Linked DNA regions of Anolis sagrei. The protein of the gene in region 1 binds, or shares a complex with, the protein of each later gene. Links are inferred from orthologs where the notes say so. Each region holds a gene or a part of one and is shown on either strand. Other genes may lie near its edges. The genes, in order: GNAO1 and ADRA2A.

What was found.
Region 2: the proteins of GNAO1 (region 1) and ADRA2A are in contact, whole or in part, in a cryo-EM structure (PDB 7W6P), measured with the Homo sapiens proteins. The link is inferred for Anolis sagrei from reciprocal best matches to the Homo sapiens genes GNAO1 and ADRA2A. Residues at the interface, in NP_066268.1 of Homo sapiens: Ile28, Lys32, Lys193, Asn194, Leu195, Asp218, Phe336, Thr340, Asp341, Ile343, Ile344, Ala345, Asn347, Leu348, Gly350, Cys351, Gly352, Leu353, Tyr354; in NP_000672.3 of Homo sapiens: Arg77, Arg146, Ser149, Ile150, Ala153, Ile154, Asn157, Leu158, Arg160, Pro162, Ile234, Ala238, Arg241, Arg383, Arg386, Phe387, Val390, Leu391, Phe444, Asn445, His446.

What each region holds. Positions count from the first base shown.
Region 1 is NC_090028.1:7,028,227-7,035,946, reverse strand, and holds the start of GNAO1 (guanine nucleotide-binding protein G(o) subunit alpha), read left to right. Parts: upstream 1-4,560; 5' UTR 4,561-5,248; coding exon 5,249-5,366; intron 5,367-7,720. UniProt on the Homo sapiens protein: Guanine nucleotide-binding proteins (G proteins) function as transducers downstream of G protein-coupled receptors (GPCRs) in numerous signaling cascades.
Region 2 is NC_090023.1:209,258,271-209,266,515, reverse strand, and holds the start of ADRA2A (alpha-2A adrenergic receptor), read left to right. Parts: upstream 1-5,107; 5' UTR 5,108-5,666; coding exon 5,667-7,016; 3' UTR 7,017-7,140; intron 7,141-7,406; 3' UTR 7,407-8,245. UniProt on the Homo sapiens protein: Alpha-2 adrenergic receptors mediate the catecholamine-induced inhibition of adenylate cyclase through the action of G proteins.

The DNA.
Region 1 (7,720 bases):
GGTATAGGGCGCAGACACCCCGTGATAATGCGGCATGTCTCATTAAGAGCCACATCTATTGTTTTAGTGTGGTGAGATGTGTTCCACACTGGGCATGCGTACTCAGCAGCAGAATAGCATAGCACAAGGGCAGATGTCTTCACTGTATCTGGTTGTGATCCCCAGGTTGTGCCAGTCAGCTTTCGTATGATATTGTTTCTAGCACCCACTTTTTGTTTGATGTTCAGGCAGTGCTTCTTGTAGGTCAGAACACGGTCCAGGGTGACTCCCAGGTATTTGGGTGCGCTGCAATGCTCCAGTGGGATTCCTTCCCAGGTAATAATCCTCAGAGCTCGGGATGCTTGTCTGTTCTTAAGGTGAAAGGCACATATCTGTGTTTTAGAGGGATTAGGGATCAGTTGGTTTTCCCTGTAATAGGCAGTAAGGGCACCTAGAGCTTCGGAGAGCTTCTGTTCAACCATCTCAAAGCTCCCTGCCTGAGTGGTAATGGCACGATCATCAGCATAGATGAAGCTCTCTGTCCCTTCTGGCAGTGGCTGGTCATTTGTGTAGATGTTGACCATGGATGGAGCAAGCACGTTCCCCTGAGGCAGGCCGTTCTTCTGTTTCCGCCATCTGCTTCTTTGGCCCTGGAATTCAACAAAAAAGCTCATGTTTTGTAGCAGGCTTCCTATGAGGCGGGTGAGGTGGTCGTCCTTTGTGATATTATACATTTTTCTCAGGAGGAGGCGGTGGTTCACAGTATCATAGGCTGCTGACAGGTCTATGAAGACAGCCCTGTGATCTGCTGCCTTTCAAAGCCATCTTCTATGTGCTGAGTCAGGTTCAGCACTTGCGATGTGCAGCTTTTGCCTTTCAGCTTTCTTCTGAATGCGCACAGGCGACTATAGACTATAGAGGCACTCAGCTTGGACTCCAGCAGTTCGTAACAGTCAGAGACCTCCGCTAAGATAGCAAAATTCCAAATTGGATTCCCTTGTGGGGCTGATATTCCGTGCCACCAAGGAAGCCATGCTCTGCTGGGCATATCATCCTGATGACTTATCCAGCTGGAAGACACAAAGAAGCAAGTCTCTTCTCTTCTTTTGATGGGTTTCAGGCACGTTATAAAACCAGACTTTTGACCCATCCTAAGGTTTACTCTTTGCTGATTGCGTTGGCTTTGCTTTGTTGCTCTCTGCTTTTCTTTTGTATTGAATGTATTTTTGATGGCTCTCGGCCAGCTTGAGACTCCTTTTCGGGATTAGAAGGCGGGGAATGAATTTTCTAAATAAATACACAAACTGGAGACTCTGTTCTGTTTGCTTTTCCTCACCAGCAATGGATTGCTAACTTAGGAGTAGAGTATTATTGACCAGATGTTTTGGGTTAGGTTACAACCTCTTTCACACCTGTGTCCAGGTTGGTTCATCGTGTGCTCTGCTATGGCTGACTTCTCTGGTTGAAGTAGTCTGCAGTGCCTTTCATGTTCCTTGATTCGTGTCTGGGCAATGCTGCTGCGTTTGGTGGTCCCTCTGTAGACTTGTCCACAGCTGCATGGTACACGGTAGACTCCTGCAGAGGTGAGAGGATCCCTCCTGTCCAACCTGGACACAGCATTTTATTTGGGAACACAGAAATGCTGGACCACTCTCACAACCACCATGTCAGACTACACAGAGAAGCCATTGAAATCCACAAGCATATGAACAATTTCAACAGAAAGGAGGAAACCATGAAAATGAACAAAATTTGGCTACTAGTATTAAAAAATTCTAAAATTACAACAGCACAACAACAGAGAGGAAACAAACAAGGACATCTAATCACCTCTCAACAAAAGTTTGCTCTTGGCACTATCAGGCCATTATATGCTAATCAAGGTGGTCTGTTGAAACATTCACACCTAGCTCCAGCAGACAAGAGTCCTTTGTCCCACCCTGGTCATTCCACAGATAAATAAACCCCTTTTCCTAGTTCCAACAAACCTCACTACCTCTGAGGATGCTTGCCATAGATGCAGGCAAAATGTCAGGAGAGAATGCCTCTAGACCAGTGGTTCTCAACCTGGGGTCCCCAGATGTTTTTGGCCTACAACTCCCAGAAATCCCAGCCAGTTTACCGGCTGTTAGGATTTCTGGGAGTTGAAGGCTAAAAACACGTGAGGACCCCAGGTTGAGAACCACTGCTCTAGACCATGGCCATATAGCCCGAAAAAACCTACAACAACCCTATAATAATAATAATAATAATAATAATAATAATAATAATATATTATTATTATTATTATTATTATTATATGTTATAATAGAATATATTATAATATTATAATTAAAGATAAAGGTTTCCCCTGACATTAAGTCTAGTCATGTCTGACTCGGGGGGGGGGGGGGGGGGGGGTGCTAATCTCAATTTCTAAGCCAAAGAGCCAGTGTTTTCTGTAGACACCTCCTAGGTCATGTGGCTGGCATGACTGCATGGAGCACCTTTACCTTCCCACAGAAGCGGTACCTACTGATCTACTCACACTTGCATGTTTTCAAACTGCTAGGTTGGCAGATGCTAGGGCTAACAACAGGAGTTCACTCCATCAGCGGAGTCGAACCACCAACCTTCTGGTCAGTAAGTTTTGCAACTTTGTGGTTTAAACCGCTGAGCCACTGCAGCCTCTGTGTTATATTATTATGCATTATAATATTATATTAATATATGTCATTATATTATATTATGTTTTTATAATTGGACCAGTGAGGCAATGGGGGTTTAGAATATATTCTAATATAATATTGTTATTATATTAATATGTTATATTATTATATTATTATTGTTATATAATATTTTTCTTATACTACTATATTATTACATTATTTGTGATAGGACCAATGGGGCAAAGGGGGTTTCGAATATATTATAATTATATTAATATGATATATTATTATTATATTATATTATTATATTATGTTTTTATGATAGGATTAATGAGGCAACAGGGTTTATTATTATATTATAATTATATTAATATATGTTATAATACTATAATTATATTATATTACCATATTTCTATTTATATTACCATATTATGTCTTTATGATAGGATTAATGAGGCAATTGTGTTTATTATTACATTATAATTATATTAATATATGTTATAATATATTATTATATTATATTTTTATGATAGGATTACTGATGCAATGGGATTTATTAATATATCATAATCATATTAATATATGTTATTATATTATATTATATTATATTAATATTATATCTCTATATTATTATACTATGCTTTTATGATAGGACCAATGAGGCAATGGGGTTTACTATTATATTATAATTATATTAATATATGTTATAATATATTATTATATTATATTTTTATGATAGGATGACTGATGCAATGGGATTTATTAATATATCATAATCATATTGATATATGTTATTATATTATTATATTAATATTATATCTTTACATTATTGTACTATGCTTTTATGATAGGATTAATGAGGCAATGGGGTTTATTATTATAATTATATTAATATATGCTTTGATCTTATTCTATTATATCATTATTATATTATATATTATTATATTATATTAATATATGTTATAATATTATTTTATTATATTTTATTATGTTATTATACTGTAATATCCTTGTATTATTATCGTTATATTTGATCTTTATTTTATTAAATAGTATATGTTATAATATTATTATATTATATTATTATACTATTATAATATTATATTATGTTTTTATGATAGGACCAATGAGGCAATGGGGTTTATTATTATATTATAATAATAGTAAAATATGTTATAATATTATTCTATTGTATCATTATTCTATTATATTTTATTTTATTATTCTATTATATTAAAACATGTTATAATATTATAATATTATGTTATTATGTTGTAATAGTATTGTATTATTATCATTATATTTGAGCTTTATTTTATTAAATATTATTATATTATATTATAATATTATAATATTATGTTTTTATGATAGGACCAATGAGGCAATGGGGTTTATTATAATAATTATAATAAAATATGTTATAATATTATTCTATTATATCATTATTATATTATATTATATTATATTTTTATGTTGCAAAGTAAGTAATAGTATTATATTATTATCATTATATTTGATCTTTATTTTATTAAATATTATATGTTATAATATTATTATATTATATTATTATTATATTATTATATTATATTATATTATACTATTATTATATTATATTATATTATATTATATTATATTATATTATATTATATTATATTATAATGTTTTTATGATAGGACCAATGAGGCAATGGGGTTTAGAACCCAGGAACCCAAATCGTGTTGGATCATGAATGATCTTCTGCTTAGAAATGGGTGTTTTCCTTCCCATCCTTTGGCCTCTCTTTCTCTAGATTCCCCCCACCTTTTCCTTTAGGAGTGGGGCGCATGCGCAGGAGACAGGGAGAGCTCTGACGTCATAGAGTCAGCTTCCCCCCCCCCTCTCTCTCTTTCTCTTCCCCCCTCCCCTCCGTTGGAAGGAGCAACGCTAAGCAGGCGGCGCTCTCGCCCTGCCTTTCCTCCCTCCCTCCTTTTTCCCCCTCCCTCCTTTCCTCCCTCCTCTCTGCTTTCTCTCTCCGTCAGGATCGCCTTGGACGATGCCCTCGCTCGCAGCCATCGCCCATTAGAGACCCCCCCAAGTTCGGGGGAGCAGGAGGGGACCCCTTGAGATCCCCCCCACCCAAAGAGAAACCCCAAAAGAAAGGGGGAAAGGAGGAAGAAAGGAAGAAGGAAGAGACTGAAGAAGAATAAGAAAGAGACAACAAAGATAAATCCTTGCAACATTGTGTTGTGTTTGGCTGAGCTGCTCCCGACAATTCCCCGACAATTCCCCGACAATTCCCCGACAATTCCCCGACAATTCGAAGCTGTCACTTGGATGCAACGTTTGGAGTGAAGCAGAGCAAAAAAAAAAGACGCAGAGAGAAGGAAAGGAAGGAATTAAGGAGAGATTGTCTGCCAGGGAAGAAGAGAGAAGAAGGCAAGAAGGGGAGATTGGTTTTCTTTGGTGCACCAGCATCTCCCTGGCTTTGGTCCATCGGTGGTCTTCTCCTTCTCCCTGGCTTTGATTGGAGCTCGCCCTGCCTTTGGAGCAAGGAAAGAAGGGAAGGAAAAAGGGGTCTTTTGTATTCTTGTTGTTGTTTTATAGGGGGGGGATTCGCCCTTTTTGTGTGTGTGCCCACCACCATGGGATGTACCCTCAGCGCGGAGGAGAGAGCCGCCTTGGAAAGGAGCAAAGCGATCGAGAAGAACCTCAAGGAAGATGGCATCACCGCCGCCAAGGATGTCAAGCTCCTCTTGCTGGGTAAGTAGGCAGGCACACAGGCATAGATAGAGATACATGTATGTATGTGTATATGCGGATGTACATAGATACCGCTATGTCTTCTCTTGCTGGGTAAGTAGGCAGGCACACAGGCATAGATAGAGATACATGTATGTATGTGTATATGCGGACGTACATAGATACCGCTATGTCTCCTCTTGCTGGGTAAGGAGGCAGGCACACAGACATAGATAGAGATACATGTATGTATGTGTATATGCGGACGTACATAGATACCGCTATGTCTCTTCTTCTCCAGGTGAGATATGAGCATCCCTCTCTTCCTCAGGTGTGGTCTTCTTCCCCTCTCCCACCTCTCAATTTCTTCTATTTGCCATCACTATCTATCTATCTATCTATCTATCTATCTATCTATCTATCCATTCATCTATCTATCTATCTATCTATCCATCCATCCATCCATCCATCTATCTATTTATCTATTTATCCATCCATCCATCCATCCATCCATCTATTTATCTATCCATCCATTCATCCATCTATCTATTTATCTATCTATCTATCCATCTATCTATCTATCTATCTATTTATCTATCCATCCATCCATCCATCTATCTATCCATCTATCCATCCATCCATCCATCCATCTATCTATTTATCTATCCATCCATTCATCTATCTATCTATCTATTTATCTATCCATTCATCTATCTATCTGTCTATCTATCTATCTATCTATTTATCTATTCATCCATTCATCCATCTATCTATCTATCTATCTATCTATCCATTCATTCATCTCTCTATCTCTCTATCTATCTATCTATCTATCTATTCATCCATCCATCTATCTATATACCTCCCTCTCCCTATATATTATGAAATCCTTCTTCGTTTTGTGCACCCAGGGGCATTGGATATATGTAGATAGATAGGATAGGATAGATAGACAGATGGATAGGATAGGATAGAGAGATAGAATAGAATAGAATAGAATAGAATAGAATAGAATAGATAGACGGATATGATAGATAGGATAGATAGAATAGAATAGATAGATAGGCAGATGGGGATATGATAGATAGAATAGATAGATAGAATAGATAGAATAGATTGATAGATGGATATGATAGATAGGATAGATAGATAGATAGATAGATAGATAGATAGATAGAATAGATAGATAGAATAGATAGATAGACAGACAGATAGATATGATAGAATAGATAGACAGGTGGATATGATAGATAGGATAGATAGATAGAATAGATACATAGAATAGATAGAATATATGGATGGATAGATAGATAGATAGATAGATAGATAGATAGATAGACAGACAGATGGATATGATAGATAGAATAGATACATAGAATAGATTAATAGAATAGATAGCATACATACATACAGAGAGAGAGAGAGAGAGAGAGAGAGAGATTGAGATTGATGGATTATGAAATGCAGCCTTCTTGGCTTTGTACATCCCAGGGCATTCGATTTGTGTAGATAGATAAATAGATAGATAGAGAAGTGTGTGTGTATATATATATTCCCCCTTTCTATATAAGCACTATGGGGCATCTATAGAAAAGGGAAATATATATATATGTGTGTGTGTGTGTGTATTCCCCCTTTCTATATATGCACTATGGGGCATCTATAGAAAAGGGAAATATATGTGTGTGTGTGTATATATATATATATATTTCCCCTTTCTATATATGCACTATGGGGCATATATAGAAAGGGGGATATGTATATATAATTGAATGCATCCTTCTTGGCTTTGTGCACCATGGATCTCATATATATATATATATATATATATATATATATATATATATATATATATAATTTGTACATTATAATAATATAATGTACAATAATATAATATTTAATAATATAATACAATATTAATCCCCCATTTCCATATATATATATATATATAGAGAGAGAGAGAGAGAGAGAGAGAGATAGGGGATTAATATCTATCTATCTATCTATCTATCTATATGAGAAAGAGGGTATTAATATTATATAATATTATTAAATATTATATTATTGTACATTATATTACTAAATGCATTCTTCTTGGCTTTGTGCACTATGAGGCATCTAGGAATATATAGCTATATATCTTTCTCTACACAGATATAGATATTTTGAAATACATCCTTCTTGGTTACCATGAAGCGTATGGGAATATATATGTGTGTGTGTGTGTAATACATATAGAGTGATGTATATTATAATAGGAATAATAATATATATATTTATATCTAAGTTTTGATATAGCTATATATACATACACATATGATGAAATACATCCTCCTTGGCTTTCTGCACCCAGGGGCATTATACACACACACAAA
Region 2 (8,245 bases), on another chromosome or scaffold:
ATCAAACATCTCCAGTTCCCTGACTGTTTTTATAGGCTTGGTTTCCAGTTCCTTTATGATCTTCATCCTCCCCCTTGGGCAGGCTCTATCAATGTAGTCCTTGAACTCTGGCGCACAGAATTGCACACAAGACTCCTAATGAGTGAAACAGATTAGAGTGGTGCTATCACTTCCCTTGAATTGGACACAATATTCCAGTTGATACATTCCAAGAACTGCATTGGCTGCATCACAGTATTTATTCATGTTTAGCTTTTGATCTATTATTGTTTGGTCCCTTCAAGCCATTTCTGATTTACAGCTTCCCTCAGGTGAATGTCTCTCAGGGTTGCTTTGGAAAGATTTATTTGGAGAGGTTTTGCTGATGCTTATCTCAGAGCTCGAGAGAGTATGACTTCTCTATCCCCCAATGGGTTCCCATGGCTAAGCAAGGGTTCAAACCTTGTCTCTAGAATTGTAGCCCAATGCTCAAACTAGTACTTCATGCCGGTTCTTCTTTTAATCTGTCCAAATATCTAAATCTTTCTCACATGTCAAGTGTTGCCTGCCCATTCCAGCACTGCTTTATGTGAGTCTTTGTGTAATCTAATGAAGCATAACATCTGAATGGCATAATGAACCATTGCACTATCTAATCCAATTTCATCCTCAACAGAATAGCAAGGCAGAAGCCTCTACACATCAACCATGAGCTGCAGTGGTTTGAGCATTGGAATAAAACCAGGGATCAAATCTGTGCTCAGCCATAGAAACCCACCAGGTGACCTTGGGGAGGTTGCATTCTCTCAGCCTCATGACATACATACACAGAACAGCCCCGAATGAGTGTCCCATATCCAATCTGTTATGTCACGTAAATATGTAATGCACGAATACTGGAATGCTGGAATTCGGGAAACAGGATTTCTGATCCAAAGTAAGTTTACTGCTGGGCACTTCTTAATGTCCAGTTTCCTTCCAGTACCAGATAGTGCAGGTGGCTGAAAGAAAAGAACTAGACCTATCTTGGCACTCACCAACTAAGGAGAGCCAACTAATTCGGAAAAGCACATTTAAGTTCATTGACAATTTACAAAAAGTTAATCAGTGTAATCAGTACTTTTACTACTACTGTTTGCTAGTCTACAAGCAATGCTTTCTCAGTCTTGGTCATCCAAATATTTCAGACTTCAGCTCCCAGAATTCCTGAAGGAGAACTTTTGATTTCCTGTGAGAGGATAGATGGATAACCTCCATAGGATCTCTAATGAAGCAGTGCATCACTGTCAAGAATTAGGACACTTATATATGGTAGCTTATCCAGCAAGAAAAGCCCCAAATAAACAAAGTCTCTCAGAGAAAAAACACCTAATACCTCGAAAGCTGGTGCAAACATTATGAAGTGCTTTGTCAAACTCATGGATTCCTCTTAGACAGTGGTTGCCCTACAACTCCCAGAAATCCCAACCAGTTTACCAGCTGTTAGGATTTCTGGGAGCTGAAGGCCAAAACGTCTGGGCACCTACAAGTTGAGAACTACTGCTCTTAGTCAAAGGATCTCAGCTTTTTCCTTTTCAATTTCTAGAATTCTTTGCCATTGGATGGGGCTTCTGGGAAGTCCAAAGTTTGGAAACTACTGGATAGAGAATAGGAATATAGGATCAGTCACATATGCATGTAATAATGCTAACCTAAACATCATAAAAACAAAAGACAGCACAAGAAACTGAAGCCCATGATTAATTCTGTTTGAGTTTTTAAGCATGCTTTACTTGGGTTCAATTGATCCCTGTGTAAATGTTGGCAGATCCCTGGAGATGGCTGTGTTACACTTGCATTGCCCACAGTTGCATTTGAGAAGTGTTTGAAGTATCTGTATGCTTATTTACACGGGCATCTGCTGTGGCATTTGGTGAGGCAAATGCATAGAGAGATGGTTCTATACAGAGGCAATGCACAACTGCAAGTGATATGACACACAAGTACCTGGATGCAGGGTAGCTTTCACAGCAAACAGATTTCTGTTAGCAGAAGCAACACATGCAAACAGACATATCAAGGACCTGTGTCTGCCAGTGAGCCACAGCTGAGATGTGGCAAGGATTTGGCTTCCAGACCTATGCTCATTTTGGCTGCCCTTCTCTCGGATGTATTCCAGCATGTCAATACCCTTCTTGTCCCAATATGCAGCTTGTCCCAACCTTGGTGCCAGAATCACCAGGTGCCTGTTGAAACCAATGCCAGTTTGCTGTCCATTCTCGAGCTATGAAGCAGCAACGTGTACCCCTTTGCACCTTTTTGTGCTGGCAACTTTGCTGGGATGGGGCATTTATGAAGGAAGGTTAAGGAGGATGTGTGACCTATATTGTGATTGCTGTGGTGAACATAAATAACAAGTTCAGGTAGAGTATTCTTTATCCAAAATTCCCAAATTGTCCACTTCGATGGCTGAGATAGTTACTTCTTTGCTTTCTGATAGTTCAGTGTGCACAACATTTGTCTTATGCATGACAGTATTAGAAAATGTGTTGTTGAAGGTTTTCATGGCCAGAATCATTGGGTTGCTATGAGTTTTCTAGGCTGTGTGGCCATGTTCCAGAAACATTCTCTCCTGACATTTCACCCACATCTATGGCAGGCATCCTCAAAGGTTGTGAAGTCTGTTGGAAACTAGGAAAGTGAGGTTTATATATTTGTGGGATGTCCAGGGCGGGACAAAGAACTCTTGTCTGTTGGAGGCAAGTGTGAATGTTGCAATTGGCCACCTTGAGTAGTATTGAATAACTTTGCAGCTTCAAAGCCTGGCTGGTTGCTGCCTGGGGAAATCCTTTGTTGGGAGGTGTTAGCTGGCTCTGGTTGTTTCATGTCTGGAATTCCCCCTGTTTTCTGAGTGTTGTTCTTTATTTACTCTCCTGATTTTAGAATTTTGTAATACTGGACTATTAATTAGGGCTATTTTTGACCAGTAACTTTCAAATAACTGGAAATGACATTTATCTGGCATCTATCACTCCCTGTGTGTGCTGGTTAACTGCGATGTGTGGGTGTCCATATGTGTATATGTATATGTATGTATATTATATAGCTTAGGTACCTGGTGATGCCTGGACTAAGTATTTGGTGATAAATATAAGAAATCCCGATTGTTTGTTTTTGGATGTTATGAATGGTCCATTTTTTCCCATGACAGGAGCAACTTGAGAAACTGCAAGTTGCTTCTGGTGTGAGAGAATTGGCAGTCTGCAAGAACGTTGCCCAGGGGACACCCGGGTGTTCTTTTTTTTAAAAACTTATTCTTTATTGATTTTAGAAAAATAGAGACATAGATACAAATATATTTACTTGTTCCATTATACAAAAAAAAAACCTAGTACAAAATTCTCACTACCCGGTGAGGACACCCGGGTGGGACACCCGGGTGTTCTGATGTGTCCTTGTGGGAGGCTTCGCTCATGTCTGTGCATGGGGAGCTGGAGCTGGTAAAGGGAGCTAATCTGTACTCTCTCCAGATTCAAACCTCCGACCTGTTGGTATTCAGTCCTGCTGGCACTGGGGTTTAACCCGCCGTGCCACCGGGGGCTCCTATGGTCCTATTAGGAAATGCATAATGATTGTGGGTAAGCTACAACTCCCATCATCATCTATCAATGCTCTCAAACCCTACCAGTACTTAAAGTTGGCCATGTTGGGTATATGTGCTAAGTTTGGTCCAGATCCATAGTTGGTGGGGTTCACAGCACTCTTTGGAGGTAGGTGAACTACCCATGCCCAACATCCTTTCAAGCAACTGGAAACAACATTTACTTCCAGTTCCATTATCAAAATGATGCATGGGCAAACTTCGTCCAAAGGGTTGGAGGAGGATGCTGATGCTGATGATATGGATTTATATTTTTCTTCTTTTTCCCAAAGGAAACGCAAAGGGGTTAGAATAAAAGTACAGGTTTTTTCCTGACATTAAGTCCAGTCTTATCCGACTCTGGGGGTTGGTGCTCATCTCCATTTCTACGCTGAAGAGCCAGTGTTGTCGGTAGACACCCCCAAGGTCATGTGGCCAGAATGACTGCATGGAGCGCCGTTACCTTCCCACCGGAGCAGTACCTATTGAACTACTTACATTTGTATGATTACAAACTGCTAGGTTGGAAGAAGCTGGGGCTAACAGCGGGAGCTCACACCACTCTCCGGATTCGAACCTACGATCTTTCGGTCAGCAAGTTCAGCAGCTCAGCACTTTATCCCACTGCACCACCAGAGTCAAAAGACTATAAAACAATACAATGTGTAAATTAAAACCCAAAGCATACACCAAGCATGGGTCAACATTTGTCAGGAAGTAGCAGCTTGTAATGAAAGGACCAAAGCATTGACATCTCTTGCCCATCCTCTGTTCGGATATCAGCCAGCAACCCAATGCCTTAAATCAAGAAAAAGCTTCCTTAGATTTACAGGGATACTCGCAGGAACACCTCAGCAAGCGAGAGTCCAAAAGTGGCAGATGAAAACCTGGAACTTCAATCAATGGTTGATACCAGATGAGAGATTCCCCTCATGGGCACACAGAAGATTGAGTGACCTGGAAGGTCCTGAACAGGTTGAACTCTGGCACCATGAGATGCAGAGCTAACCTTAAGAAATGGGGCTACAAAGTGGAGTCCACGACATGTGAGTGCGGAGAAGAGCAAAGCATGGACCAACTCCTACAATGCAACCTGAGCCGGCATTGTCCGTAGAGACCTCCAAGGTCATTTGGCCAGCATGACTTCATGGAGCGCTGTTATCTTCCCACCAGAGCAGTACCTATTGATCTACTCACATTTGTATGTTTTCAAACTGCTGGGTTGGCAGAAGCTGGGGCTAACAACAGCTCATGCATGGGTCAACTTGGGCCCTCCAGGTGTTTTGGACTTCAACTCCCACCATTCCTAACAGCCTCAGGCCCTTTCCTTTTCCCCCTCAGCCGCTTAAGCGGCTGAGGGGGAAAAGGAAGGGGCCTGAGGCTGTTAGGAATGGTGGGAGTTGAAGTCCAAAACACTTATAGAGGGGCCAAGTTGACCCATGCCTGATATAGATAGATAGAGATGTGTGCGTGCGTTTGTGGAGGCGAGAGGCAGAGGAGAGCTCCCCCAAAGCAGGCGAAGGGCGCTCCAGGGAAGGAAGGGGAAGCAAGGGAAGGGGGCTGAGGCGCGTGGGGCTGAGGCACGAGGGATCCCCGCGAGTCCGGAGGTCCCTCCGCGAGGCGTGGCGATCCTGGCCGGAGGAGGGGCGGGCGGGGAAGCGGCGTGTCCGTCCCCACGTGGCGCTGACGCCGCGCTTGCTGCTTGCTGCCCGCCGCTGGGTTCCCGCCGATCCCAGACCCGGCGCTATAAAGGCGAGCCTCAGCGCGGAGCAGCAAACACAGGCAAGCGCTCGGGAGAAGCCACAGAGGGAGCGAACCCTCCACACCATCACTCCCACCACCAACAGCAGCAGCAGCAACCTCTCCTCGTCCTTCGTTTGGATCTTGAAGAGCCCCCAGTTGGGTCTCTTCGGGCGAAGGTAACTTGCGGGTGGGAAGATGAGGCGGAGGAAGGAAGGAGGCGGCTGAGAGTCTTCCTCCTTCTTCTTCTCCTCCTTTCGCCAGCCTTCTTTTCTTCCTTCTCTTGCTCCTTCTCCTGCCTTGCCACCCGAGCCCTGCTGCCGGGTTGATGTTCCCAGCGGAGGTCTCGTTGGTGGGGCGCGACGAGGGGGGCTTTTCTGCGGTGGCCTCCCACTTGCGCTCGGGGCATCCTCCCTTGCCCATGGAAGGCAACGGGAGCCTCAACGGGAGCCAGGGCGGGGCGCGGGAGGGGCCCTTCTCCCTCCACGTCACCCTGGCCCTCATCTCCTTGGCCACCCTACTCATGCTGGTCATCGTCTTCGGCAACGTGCTGGTCATCATCGCCATCTTCACCAGCCGGGCCCTCAAGGCCCCCCAGAACCTCTTCCTGGTCTCCCTGGCCTCCGCCGACATCCTGGTGGCCACCTTGGTCATCCCCTTCTCCTTGGCCAACGAAGTCATGGGCCAGTGGTCCTTCGGCAAGGTCTGGTGCGAGATCTACACAGCGTTGGATGTCCTCTTCTGCACCTCCTCCATCGTCCACCTCTGTGCCATCAGCTTGGACCGCTACTGGTCCATCACCCAGGCCATCGAGTACAACCTCAAGCGCACCCCGCGCCGCATCAAGAGCATCATCTTCCTGGTCTGGGTCATCTCGGCTATCATCTCCTTCCCGCCGCTCATCTCAATCATGAAGCAAGGAGAGCCCGAGCCCCTGCCTGGAGAACAAGCTGGCAGTAAGGAGCCCAAGTGCAGCATCAACAAGGAGACTTGGTACATCATCTCCTCCAGCATTGGCTCTTTCTTTGCCCCCTGCCTCATCATGGTCCTGGTCTATGTCCGCATCTACCAGATCGCGAAGAGGAGGACTCGGGTCCCACCTGGCGATAGGCCAGAGGCCGTGGAGAGGCGGCAGAATGGGCTATCCGGCAAGGAGGACGTCACTGCAGCTACCAAGTTGAATGGGGAGAAGGTGGCGGTGGCCGGGGGAAGCCACGACGGGGAAGAGGTCAACGGCATTGACCTGGAGGACACCTCTTCCTCCGAGCACAACGAGACCCGTGAGCCCAAGAAGCAGGAGAAGCCACCCCGGGGCAAGGGTAAGACCAAGCTCAGCCAGATCAAGCCTGGGGACGTCTTGCCCAGCCGGTCCGAGGAGGAGCGCAACGCCAAGGCATCCCGATGGCGGGGCAGGCAGAACCGGGAGAAGCGCTTCACCTTTGTGCTGGCGGTCGTGATTGGGGTTTTTGTCATCTGCTGGTTCCCTTTCTTCTTCACCTACACCTTGACTGCTGTTTGCGAAAGCTGCTTTGTGCCTGAAACCCTCTTCAAGTTCTTCTTCTGGTTTGGGTATTGCAACAGTTCCCTCAACCCTGTCATCTACACCATCTTCAACCATGACTTCAGGAGGGCCTTCAAAAAGATCCTCTGCAGGTTAGACCGAAAAAGGATTGGCTGAGGAGGAGGAGGAATGGACCTCCTGTTCTTTGTTGCCGAGGCCGAGTGTCTTCGAGTGGTTGGATTTTGGAAGTTGGGTGGCATCTCATTTGGTTACTGAGCTTGAACTCTTCAGAGACTTTCAGGTGAGATGAAATGATTACAACATTGGTACACAACCCCTCAGACACTGAGTGGATATGTTTCTCTACCCAGTGATGGATTGGAAGCTCTTATTTATGAGTGTTGTTATAAACCTGACACATTACAAACTGAAAAGGACCAGCTGGGGTGGGCAAGGGGGAAATTATAAGTCATATATTTCAGAAGCACTTTCTTTCTATTTCTTCCCCCCTCTCCCCAAAATGACAGTATTGCATCTTTGAGATCTGTTCCTCTTTAACTTTTGTAGGAGAGATCAGCTTTGCAACTGCTTCCGATCTTTCTTGAAAACGCAATGTGTCTCTGAAAACTTAAAAAAACAAAACAACACACCCCAGTGGACTACCGGAGCCATCTCATCAAGCATTAAAAATAGTATTATAAATACCAAGATTTCCAATGTGCAGTTGGATTTTGGGCTAAACAAAACTGGTAACATAAGCTTGGCAATAGCCAACGTTTTATCGTACTCCCTATATGTATTTTTGTTTTTTCTTAACTTCATGTTTGTGTTGTCATTTAAGCAGTATTGTTCAAAAGCTGTATCTCCCTTTTTTGCCACCTGAAAGAAGGAATGTTATTTTGAAAAATATCCATTCAGCATAGAATCGGCACAGAATCTGTCACAAGGACAAGCTGGTTTCTCATTTGCTATGCTCGAGAGGAATTAGATTCTCCAAAGGTTATGATAAAGTGCTCTGGCTTTCCTCTGATGTATGTCCGATGCTAACGTATCGCTCCGGCCCATGGTTGTAAATAGATAACATTGTATACGATGCCCTTTTGTTTTACTTCACAGTGTTACCAGATTTACACTGATTTTTTTAAACATTTTCTATTTGTGTTGCCTCTCCTGCACAAGAAAACTCCATGCACAAGGACACTTTGTAGTTGCCGTTGAGAAACAATCGCAGAAACATCCGTTTTCCTTCTCCCGGTTTCAGGTTTCATGTATCCAAATCCCTTTTGATTTATTCTAAAGCGAATGTCATGCATAAACGTAAAATGGACATAATAGAATAATTCTAAGACCTCGCAGAACAAGAAAAGAAACTGAATAATTTATGTTCATGATATTTCAGTTTGTTC